3 linked regions of the Coturnix japonica genome follow. The protein of the gene in region 3 purifies or fractionates together with the protein of the main gene of each other region. This does not show direct contact. Links are inferred from orthologs where the notes say so. Each region holds a gene or a part of one and is shown on either strand. Other genes may lie near its edges.

Region 1 (3,647 bases), on a different chromosome or scaffold from region 3:
TCTAGAGTGATCCAAGGCTGCAGGAGTTCAAGAACAGACTCCGGAGATCCCTCCTTGTTACAAGCAAGATGTAACCCAAACATCCCCACCACTACAGCTGCCTTTGGAAACCCACAGATGAACCTTTAGGTTCAGTCAAAGCGAGAAATACAAGTAAAGAAGTGCAACAGGACACTGAGAATTTCCAGGTCCTTACAAACGAGCAGTTGGGTAAGAGACAAATTCCCAGGTAGCAGTGAGAGTCACTATCGAGTCAGTCCTGTACACTAAGTAGGGTCACACTGGTGTGAAACTGAACGCCTGGAAGCTGCCGGGATGTTCCCTCTCTCAGAACAGTGCAGTGCTCACAATACTCAGGATGTCCTCCCCTTATCCTGCATTAGAAATGGTAGCTCCATCTCCAGATGCCAAATCCCATTTTCTTCAGAACTAATATCCCAGAAGATTGAACATAAGAGAGACAGCACAGCAAACTGCAGTTTCTCAACCTAGTAAGTTCTCCCAACTTCTTACAGAACAAAAACCCCATGTGTTACACAGGCCTGGTGTTTTCATTTAGCTTTGAAAATGAGTTTGTGGACTAACATTCACATTTCTAGAGCATTAAGTACCATTAAGAAAGAGGATCACAGAGGATGAGCTGACTTGCTTTAGCCATAAGAATTTAACTGCAAGCCTGACTCCTTCCCTGCCTGCCTGCAATCACACTGTGGTGGTATCTGAACCTTCCAACAACTCTGAGTAATACATTTATCCCTCTACTGAGGCAGAAAGATTCTAACTGTACTTCTGAATCACATTTCTCACTTCACTTTTATCTGTTCTAAGGAAAGCAGGAAGGAGCTCCAGCTGAAAAACCCAAGCACCTCAAAAACATGAGTGTGCCAGATGTCAGACCTCAGGCAAAGAACTGTAGCAGCTGGAAAACACCACGCAGCCATTTACTGCTTCTGTGCAGCACTGGCTGTTACTCCAGATCAACTCCTGTGTCACTCTCCTTTAGAACTAACACACTGGGATAAGTGAAGTATTTAAAGAGCAGTGAATTCACTCTTTCAGTTATCTAGAAAGAATCAGGGAGCTCAGAATCAGGGAATCCTGAAAGCAGGCATTGTTACAGCTGCTCTATGAACTGCTCTACGATTGACTGCCATCGCCGCAGACTTACTGAGCCCCTTCCAGCCCGGCTGCACATCGGGGGTGATGCTCTCGAGTTCTCGCTGAAACTCCTCTCTTGCCGTAGCCACAAGTTCATGATACTGAGCCACGATCTTGGCCTCAGACTGTGCTGCCTGAACCTGTAACAAACAAAAAAGGAGACTGGCTTATCTTCCAAGGAGACTGAAGTCATCTGAGATCAAACCTGAGTTAGTGGCAGAGATCTTTATCCTCACTTGGGGAAAAGCTGCCCTGTGACATCAAGCCTCTTATACACAGTAATTATTTACCCCAACTACACAGATCCACTTCTTCACACGCACACTGTAATACTGTAGTCAATCTGTAGCTCAGAAAAAACCAACACAATATGTTCCTTTAGAGATATCCAGCTCTACACCTTCATTACAGAATGTTTTCTACCATCAGAGCAGCATGCAGCCATCACAGCCCCAGCAGGGAGCTGCCCAACCCTCACTGCGTTCTGTACTCCCACACTTCAGAGAAATTCCCCACTGAAATTCCTCCATCAGAGCAATCCATTATCCTGCAAAAGGGCATGATTTCAACTTTACTTTTCATCCTGTTTTCTGAGCCATAAAGTGATATACCCACAAAGTCATCAGCAGACTCCTCCCCAACCTGATGAATATTATAGGTGTGCCCCAGATCCAAAGAAACAAGTTTCAAGGTTAAAAAGTAATCTCAGCAATCCAACCCTATGTCTCCCATGCCCTGCACAAGAGCCACCACCAGAACAACTGGATACACTCAGTGAGAGGACACTACGCCAATCAGCACCCTGAATAGTTTGTCTCATCTTCCTAATTCCACTCCAGCATCAGACAGAAGGAACTGCAAGTCCAGCATCAGACAGAAGGAACTGCAAGTCCAGCATCAGAAAGAAGGAAATGAAAGCTGCCCAAGGAAAGAGCAGACACTGAACAAACTGGCTGCAGAGTTCCAAGACAGAGTTCAGGCTTTTCATGCAAAGTCCTTGTCAAGACAACTCACTGGTACCACACACAGCTCAAAGACTGACTATAGCTGAAAATTGTGTTTAGAAATAGCATTTAAACTAAGAAATACTTGATCTGCTATAAAGGACGTGGAAAAAGGGGGTCTCACAAGCTGCCAATCAGTCCTTGTTCTAATGATGATGAAGAACAGCTGGAAGTGTTACCTTCTTCACTACATTGTCCAAGTCAACTATCATATGATGAAGATTTTCCTCTGCAGCAATGATGTGAGGTTTGGCTCCTGGGATCTGAGCCTTCTTGGCATTCTCAATTACACCTTTTGTCTTCTCCAACTCTTCTCTGAAAAGAAATGAAGCTGTTGATTATAACACATACAGGTCTTACTGCATAACCACATACATGCATGAGCACACATCTAATAAATAGCCAGCCTTAGGAGTGGCTCTGCTGAAGAATGGAACCAACAAACAGTGCTGTAAGACTTAATTTTACATCACAGCTAGGAGAAGCCAACGATGTTATTGACTCAACAGACCCAGAGTGCAGCAAATTGAATTCTTACAATAGGCATAATAATGATCAAATGATCCAAAATGATATTAGAAGGATTATGGGTTATTGTTTTCTTCAGTCTTACTTGAACTAAGGAGCACTGTATTTAAGTATGGGTAGGAGATACAAAGAACTCACTTGGCTTTCAGAAGGACATCAGCAGCTTCATCCACTGCCCTCCTTCGATCTTTCAGAGCCTCCTCCAGAGTGCGCCACTGAGCTGATTTCTTCTCCCCAGCAGTCTGACAAGCACAGATCGATCATTAGTGTTATCACAATGCCCACGGTACAAAATTACCCATCAGATAATAACAACACAGCTGGAAGCTCTTAAGAATTTCTTCTTTCTATCGTTTTTGTTGTGGTTTTGAACCTTGACATTGTGATTGACCACTCCATTATACCCTCTGCAACAGAAAGCAGCAGTCCTACACAAAGTGGGACATGTCAAAAGCAGAAGCACTTTATTATTAAACCCTACAACGTTTCCCAAGTGGGAAGATCAGGTAAAACTGTGACAAACATTAAACCTCAGACTTTATCCTTAGTTACACGATGAACACAAGTCCCCAGCTGCCCAATTTACCTCCGAGTTGTCCATTGCCTCCTTCAGTATTTGCAAGTGCGCATTCACTGCTTGCACAGCAGATTCCTGTGCAGTAATTGCCTGCAGTGTTACACGAGCCGTAGAGCTCAGGGCTCCTTCCAGTGTTGCTGCAAGGGCTGGAAAGAAAATACTGGAATTAACTGCAGCCTCATCATTGAAGTGATTCATTATATCTCAAGTGTCTCCTTACGTTATTTTCTGTGGCTCACAAGAGGTTGGGAACAATCCTTTTGTCCCTTACAGCATGTGTAGCAGAACTCCAGGTATGGGCTCACCTGCGATCTTCTCTTGCTCCTCTTTGTCCTGCTGGGCAAGACGAGCCGCGACCTCGTCCGGCGATCGTTCTTTTA
Region 2 (4,410 bases), on a different chromosome or scaffold from region 3:
GCACAACGCTGGAAAATACAAGGCCCTTTCAAATGATGAGTTCTCTTAAAAAGAAACGTGATATTTGTATTTAAGTTTCTCTACTTAAAATCCAAGCCAAAATGAAAGAGAATGCTTTAACGCTCTCGGTGCAGCAGATCAGCTACATATGGAGAGTAAACAAGACCACGAAAGGTCTAATCTCTACATTGAAAAGGTTTGTATAACATAAACGTTATACAATAGTGTATGTAGTGGCCCTGCCAGGCAGGGAGGTTGGAACTACACGATCCTTGAGGTCCCTTCCAACCCGGCTCATTCTGTGATTCTGTGATAAATAAGTACATTTATTTCAAAGAAGCACCAAGCACATAAAAAAAGGAGTTCAAGGCCAGGCTGGACGGGGCTCTGTGCAGCCTGTTCTAGTATTAAATGGGGAGGTTGGTGGCCCTGTCTGTGATGGGGGGGTTGGGGATTCATGATCCTTGAGGTCCCATCTGTGAAGTGCTCCCCGATTTCTAAGCCAGGCAGTGAGGCGTTATAAAGACAGAACCGTACAGCCACACTCTGCTGCCAGACTTACACAGCTCCCCAGCTGCTGTTGTCAGCGTCATCCCTGCTCCCCCTTTGAGAAAGGTTCTATTCACAGAAGGGTGTCCATGGCTGGAAAAGCATTCCGAACGTTCTATGCTTTTTTCTGCCATAATGCCTCTTAGTAACAACTTCAGGCTCCCACACAATGTAAATGGCGACCGGGCTGGTTCTGATCCGGCGGCAGCTAACTGCAGCTTTAAAACTCCATGTTTTGCTTCCCATAACTGACACTACAACATCAGCGGGTTTCGCTTTCGGACACTGGAACAGGCTGCCCAGGGAGGTTGTGGATGCCCCGTCCTTGGAGGTGTTCAAGGCCAGGTTGGACGGGGCCCTGGGCAACCTGATCTAGTAAATGTGTATGTTTGGTGGCCCTGCCAGGCAGGGGGGTTGGAACTACATGATCCTTGAGGTCCCTTCCAACCCGGGTCATTCTGTGACACGTTCAATCCGCAAACAGCCGCGTCACACCCGCCACCTCCTCTCGGTGCCCCCACGCACCCCCACCTCCCTCACCCCCCTCCCCCCCATGTCCCCCCGTTGTTTCTCACCGCGCTGCAGTGTCACCCCGCGCTGCGGCTCCCGCTGCCGCCGTCCCCTCACACTCCGCTCCCGCCCGGTGGGGCCGTGTGCAGCCCGGCCGGCTCCGAACCACCCCCAGCACCGTGCTCTCTCACCCGCTTCTCTCACTGAGCTGGCGACCCCACCAGCAGCCAATCAGCGGCCGCGCCGGCACCTCCCCGACCAATAGGCGGCCGGCTTGAGGGGAGGCGGGACCTCAACCGCCCTTCGGCTGGGTGTCCAGCGACCTTACCCGGCAGCCACCGCGTCTGATTGCGTCCATCGGACACGTGACCGGGCTCCGCCAATAAGAGGCGGCGCTGCAGAAGGCGCCGTTGGCTGCGTCGTTGTGCTGCTGCCGTGCGGCGGACTACAGTTCCCAGCGCACCTTGCGGCGCAGCCGTTGTCCAATCCCGCCTCGCCGACAACAAGACGAGCTATGATTGGCGGAGAGGCGAGGGCGGCGCCGCACCAATCGCGTTGCGGCGTGGAGGGATGTGTGGGGTCCGAGCGGGCCCGGTGGCGGAGCGGGAGAGGTGTGAGCTCCGTGTGTGTCCCGGTGTGTGACCCCTGATGGCGATGGGGGCCTGAGGCTGAGCTGTGGCGGTTTGAGGACGGCTCGTTCAGCGGTACGAGGCCGGGAGCAGTGCAGGCCGCTACGGGGGGCAGGGGTGGGAGCGGGAGGAGCTGGGCTGGCCGGGAGGGAGGTGCGGCGAGGGGACCCGGCCTTTGGTCAGCGGCCACGGGGCTCCCGGCTGTAATAACGGTGTTGTGGGGGGTGGAGGAGATGGGAACTTCGGTTTTAGCTTTGGTTGTGACTGAGAAGACAGAAGGGGGTGGAAGGAAAAGAGTGGGACATGGTGAGGAGGGGTAGAACTTTGTATCACAGAATCAGAATGACCCGGGTTGGAAGGGACCTCAAGGATCATGTAGTTCCAACCCCCCTGCCTGGCAGGGCCACCAAACATACACATGTACTAGATCAGGTTGCCCAGGGCCCCGTCCAACCTGGTCTTGAACACCTCCAAGGACGGGGCATCCACAACCTCCCTGGGCAGCCTGTTCCAGGGCCTAACCACTCTCCTAGTGAACAACTTCCCCCCGACATCCAACCTAAAAATTCCCTCTTTTAACTTAAAACCATTTCCCCGTGTCCTGCTATTGTCAGCCCTTTCAAAGAGTTTACTCCCCTCCTGGGTGTAAGTTCCCTTCAGGTATTGAAAGGCTGCAGTGAGGGCACCCCGGTTTCGTGTGTGTGCAGGAGATCAGAAGAATAACGATAAAGTGGATAAGGATGAATAGAGCTGGAGGAGGGATCTGGTGCTCAGGATATGACTGGAAAGTCAGAGGCTTTTGTTCGCATTAACTTCAACTCATTTCATTTGTAGGCTTTGAGTAAGTTTTGTTGATCAGCTAAAGAATGTACCGAATAACACTGAACTTCATAGAGACTTTTTAGCAATTTAGAGCCATCTATTTTGAGAATATAAAGTATTCATTATGGTCTGAAGTTCCCAGTCAATCTTGCTAGGACATAGTACAGTCAAAGGGAAGAACATGGAGGGGAATGATTGACTTCTCACATTTCCTTTACCAAAGGAAGAACCAGTGACGGAGAAATTAGCAGGTTTTTATTTAATGTGAAAATGTGAGAAACTATTGGACACTTCTACACGTGCATCTACCAGCAGCAAGAGAACAATATAATATATGAATGGTATTATTTGTTTGGGAAATAATGGTAAAAGATTGTTACCAGTTACAAATTCAGTTTTATTTCTATACAGGGGGAAAAAGAATGCAACTTAATATGTCATTATTCATGCTTTTGTGCCTTAAAATAAAGCTACTTACATGAGTTTCTAGTGGCAGCACCAAGGACCACATTCCATAGTTTTGGAAGCACACAGTCTGTCTTTTGAAGTAATCATACAATGGTTTGAGTTGGAAGAGTTCTTATAAATTACCCATACCATTATGATATATAAATACCCGTATAAATTTCAACCTCTGTGCTGTGGGCAGGGCTGCCACCCACCAGCTCAGGCTGCCCAGGGCCCCATCCAACGTGGCCTTGAACACCTACAGGGATGGGGCATCCACAATTACTCTGGGTAGCTGTGCCGGTGTCTCACCACCCTCTGAAGTAACAATTTCTTTCTGAAATCTAACCTGAATCTCCGTTCCTTTAGTTTGAATCCATTCCCCATCGTTCTGTCACTATCAAGATGCAGACCTTCTCTTTTATCTAAGCTTATGCTTCTGTGGCCTGTTAAGTAGTTACCCCTCATTAAAACAACTGTGGAATCAGACACTGACACGTCTCATTTGAAATTAATATTGGCTTGCACTTTGGCTGAAGCAAGGTGTGACCTGCTTTTTTTTTCTTTATTGAATGCAAACTAGTCAGAAGTTTCAAAAAAAAATCACAACACCTCTAAGTATTTTGTAGCTTTAAATGGATATGGTGTTACACAAGCTGTGTGGGGCAGGTCTCTTCTCACTAGTGACAAATGACAGGACAAGGGGAAATGGCCTCAAGTTGCGCCAGGGCAAGTTTAGTTTGGATATTAGGAAGAGCTTCTTTACACAAAGGGTAGTTAGGTACTGGAATAGACTCCCCAGGGAGGTGGTTGAATCGCCATCCCTGGTTGTGTTTAAGAGCCGTTTGGATGTGGTGCTCAGGGATATGATTTAGTGTAGGGTTGTTAGAGCTAGGGTACTGGTTAGGCTGCGGTTGGACTTGATGATCTTCAAGGTCTTTTCCAACCTGGGTAATTCTATGATTCTATGATTATGCTTGATGCTGGGTTAATCTTTTGCTGCTTATTTGGTTCACTTTTATGTGAAATTTGATTACTGCTAAAGGCACTGAAAATTCAGGTTTTATTTTGCATGTTTATACAGAAGGATGTTTGTAGACTTGTAGTCTGCATATTGGGTGTGAGACAACTATGGAGTTTCTGATCATCTTTATCAGTGCTATAAACTATGTACTGTTATACATATCGGTGCATGTATTTGAAGGAAACAAGAGAAAATGTGATTAACCAAACCCTATCTGCTTTCCACAGGGGAAATTTAAGTTTCCAGCTGAAAAGTTCTATGATCATTATCCTTAGAAATTTTGTTCCTTGAGGCTTCTTTTTTTTGTACTCTTATGCCTGTAACAAATCAATGCATTTATGTTCTTACCTTATCTCTGCTCTAATTGATAGCGAACATTAATACCATATACATTTTTTTGACAGGTATTTTGTACGTGTGGTGTAGGAA
Region 3 (3,647 bases):
TTGAACAATATTTTTTTCCTTCTTTTCTGTTTAGTTTCTGCTTAGTTTGAGAACTGTGTTGTGAGCTGTGGTCTCTGTGTCCTGTGATAAAATTAGCCATCTGGGTGTTTACAGCAACTGCTGATTGGTGGCCTATAGAAATGGCTCCCCAGGCAATGTTCCTGTGGAATTGGGTAGCACAGCTGTGATCACTTCATACATGAACACGAGTTATTTTAAAATCTCAAACATTTTGTCAGTTCTACAAAATGGTTTCAGCAAAGTAAAGCACTTTAACCAGAAATGTTGAGCAATAACCAGATGTAGGCAATTTGGCAGGTTTCAAATTGAGCCTATTATTTGCTTTTAGAGCTTTGTTTTTGTTTTCAAAGATGCGCAGAAGGGTTGAAAAGTTCATTACTTGATGTGAGAACTGCTTCCTGTTTGGAGCAATGAAATCCCATAATTTTCCTGCTGCAGAAGGTCAGCACCTAAGAAATATAGATCCCTCAGGGCTCAGCCAGGTTCCCCATGTCACTTCAAGAAGGATCGTCTTCCAGCAAAAAAGCTGAGCTGATACGTTCTTCTGACACATCTTCATTTCATCACTAACAACTGTTTTGTGTTTACAGGAATGTCAGATGGAGGTAATTTTAAAAGGTGTTGCCATATAACTCTTCTAATGGTTCTGAAGTGCAGTCACCGACCTCCTGCCCTGCTGTGTGGTGGTGCACTGCTCAGCATGTTGCTCACTCAGTGTGTGCAGCCAACTTCTGAGCAGAGCTTTGCAGCTTCTCCCTGCTGCTCTCGCTTTGAGAAGTTTTTTTTTCCTTTTTCAATGGTCTGAGCAGGTGGCTGATGGGAAGCTGTGAGGAGCAGCGCTCCCCTCTATTATCCGGTGCCATAGGGGGTGCTGTCGTTCTCTGGGAGTATTTTTAACATTGCCATCTGCTGCTTTTCCTGTGCTTGTGCACAAGCCAATTTCCTTGCCAGGTCTTATAGGTTTCTGAAGGTGACTTCACCTGCTTGGCAGGAGGGAAAATACCTTGTGGAGTCCACTGCTCCCTTCAGCAAAAGGCAACTGAACAGAAATCCTGCTGTGGAGGACAGGGATGGGAGCAGCTGAGGTGCTGCTTTCATCTAAATTGGATTCATAGATTTCCATGCATAGATTCAGGTGTTTTTCCTTTTGACACCTCCATTTTCACTGAGGGGAGTGTTTTACAATTCACAGCTGGGGAAAAAGGAAATAGCAGGATTTCATTCAAATTCAACATACTTACTGCTTAGAGAACCTCTGTTTAAAAACATTTGTCTTTGCTTCGTCCTTAGGGAACGATTAGTGTTGGAATAGATGCCACTGACCTCTTTGATCGTTATGATGAAGAATATGAAGATGTGCAAGGGAGCAGCTTTCCCCAGATTGAAATAAATAAAATGCACATATCCCAGTCCATTGAGGTAAGGAGGGCCAGCACCACAGCTGGCTCGGTCAGGGTCTGAGATCATGAAGCACTACAGTGCAGGCCAGCAGAACGTGGAACGCTGCTCAGAGGTCTCATCTTTCTTTACTGGAGGATGGTCATCTACAGTTTTGGCTGTGTCTTTGTAGAATAGTCATAGCATGTGAATCAAGATTGTATTAGTTACAGTATATTCATTTTTCTCAGGCACCGCTGACTTCCACAGACACAGCAATACTGTCTGGTAACCTCTCTACCCAGAATGGGAATGGAGGTGGATCAATTAATCTTGCTCTTAGACGAGTGACATCTGCCAAGGGATGGGGAGAGGTAAGAATGCTGGATGTTATGTATTATACCCAATTTGTTACAGGCTTCTTGGTTTGGTTATCTAGACTTCATTTTCTCTTGGGAACGTCAGCTTTTTTTTTTCCACCTCTGTGTGCTTCCATTTCAGAATGTAGGGTAGCAGTGCTGACAAACTTTCTTGAGTGCCCTATGAAAAGAGCTCCTGGAGATTTAGGTGGTAGCAGTATTTGTAGAGTGATACTAAACCAAACACCTTGTGTTTAGTAGTAGAATAAAACTTGGTACCTTCTGTTTTCTAAGTCCAAAGTTTTTCTTCATTTCTTTCCCTTCCCATTTTTAGGCCGTGCATCATGAGCTTGGCTTGTGCTGATGGAGTGTTACCTGTTGTTTCCTGGGACTTGCTGATTTCTCTGTGTGAGGCCTTTCCAAAGGCTGTTTTCAGAGCATGTGTTAGTTGCCTGTAGGGCTATGAAAATGGCTTTCCTCTACTCATGGCAACCTTACTCATAGAAATACCTGCTATTCTGAGTGTAAGATTAGTAGAAAAGAGAGGATACTAAAGTGGTGAAGTTAACTCAGAAGTGTTTCAAATATCTGACATAAACAGCGCTTGTGAAGTTCTTTGTCTCCTGACACAGCCTGTGTTCTAACTGCTTGTCACTGTGCATTTTACCAGTTGGAGTTTGGAGCAGGAGACCTTCAGGGGCCTCTCTTTGGTCTGAAGATATTCCGTAATCTTACACAAAGATGGTAAGTAGTTTAAAAAAAAAACAACTTAATGTTTGGTTCCTCAGTGTGGAATATTAACCATCTTAAATTCATTTTCATGTTAGTTCTAGATTTGTTTTCTGTTCTGCAAAAGGTATCTGTTTTAGGCTTTATGTAATGTTTTAGTGCTAATCAAAATGCATATGTTCTGTTTGTTAGTGTCTTCTATTTTAATACTACCAGATTAAGGGGAGTCTGTTCTGCATCCTGATGAGGCTTTGCTTATTTCTTCTAGTTTCATCACTACAAACTGTGCTCTGCAGTTTTCATCCCGTGGGATCCGCCCAGGTCTCACCACAGTTCTTGCCCGCAACCTCGATAAGAACACGATGGGGTACTTACAGTGGCGGTGGGGCATCCAGTCAGCCATGAATACGAGCGTTGTCCGGGACACAAAAACCAGCCATTTCACTGTGGCGTTGCAGGTGAGAATCCTGTGGCTGTATGCAGGGGATGGTGCTGCCATTCTGAGTGGGAGGGGTCTCAGCCTTTCCATTCCAGCTGTAATTTGGCTTGAGAATAGAGGGTAAAGGAGCAGCTGGGTACTCTCTTGTGAATGTCTGCCATAGACACCCAGCTGGATTTGAAAGAGCACAACACTTTGTGCCCAACATTGTGACTTTTCACGTGTGTTAGCCCAGATCAGGGTTGGGACGTGGAGTGTAGACTGTAGAGGTTGTGGGTTGTGATGAGAAGTGGCAGGTGCTGTTTTCTGTGACACTTAAAATGTTATTTTAAGAAAGCAGATTTTGGGGAACATTCAGTGATGTCTGAGGGTTCTTCATAAATGTGTAACTCTTGTATTTCAGCTGGGAATCCCCCATTCTTTCATGATGGTCAGTTATCAGCATAAGTTCCAGGATGAGGATCAGACGCGGATAAAAGGTTCTCTCAAGTAAGCGTGCAAAAGGAAATTCATATTGCTCAGAATCTGTTGTCTTCTGCTGTTGTAGGTCTCCAGGTTCCACACAAATTGAGTGCTTTTGTACTCTGTAGGAATCTGCTTTAATTAAATCTGTTAATGACTGAAGTGAGTGTCTTGGAGGCTCAGCTTTGTGTGTCTCTCTAGATAAGTGAGATGTGAAATACACACTTGTTGCCTCTGTGTCATCACTGGTAAGAAAGGCA

The links.
Region 1: the proteins of DNAJC11 (region 3) and IMMT purify together in Homo sapiens (co-immunoprecipitation; 3 studies listed by BioGRID and IntAct, with this or other methods). This does not show direct contact. The link is inferred for Coturnix japonica from reciprocal best matches to the Homo sapiens genes DNAJC11 and IMMT.
Region 2: the proteins of DNAJC11 (region 3) and ARMC1 purify together in Homo sapiens (affinity purification with mass spectrometry; 4 studies listed by BioGRID and IntAct, counting the BioPlex papers as one, with this or other methods). This does not show direct contact. The link is inferred for Coturnix japonica from reciprocal best matches to the Homo sapiens genes DNAJC11 and ARMC1.

Annotation. Positions count from the first base shown.
Region 1 is NC_029519.1:77,504,765-77,508,411, forward strand, and holds part of IMMT (MICOS complex subunit MIC60), read right to left. Parts: coding exon 3,573-3,647; intron 3,414-3,572; coding exon 3,277-3,413; intron 2,933-3,276; coding exon 2,829-2,932; intron 2,478-2,828; coding exon 2,342-2,477; intron 1,299-2,341; coding exon 1,169-1,298; intron 1-1,168. UniProt on the Homo sapiens protein: Component of the MICOS complex, a large protein complex of the mitochondrial inner membrane that plays crucial roles in the maintenance of crista junctions, inner membrane architecture, and formation of contact sites to the outer membrane.
Region 2 is NC_029517.1:103,982,490-103,986,899, reverse strand, and holds the start of ARMC1 (armadillo repeat-containing protein 1), read left to right. Parts: upstream 1-1,600; 5' UTR 1,601-1,763; intron 1,764-4,385; 5' UTR 4,386-4,410.
Region 3 is NC_029536.1:426,176-429,822, forward strand, and holds part of DNAJC11 (dnaJ homolog subfamily C member 11), read left to right. Parts: intron 1-1,311; coding exon 1,312-1,440; intron 1,441-1,649; coding exon 1,650-1,772; intron 1,773-2,427; coding exon 2,428-2,501; intron 2,502-2,754; coding exon 2,755-2,944; intron 2,945-3,328; coding exon 3,329-3,414; intron 3,415-3,647.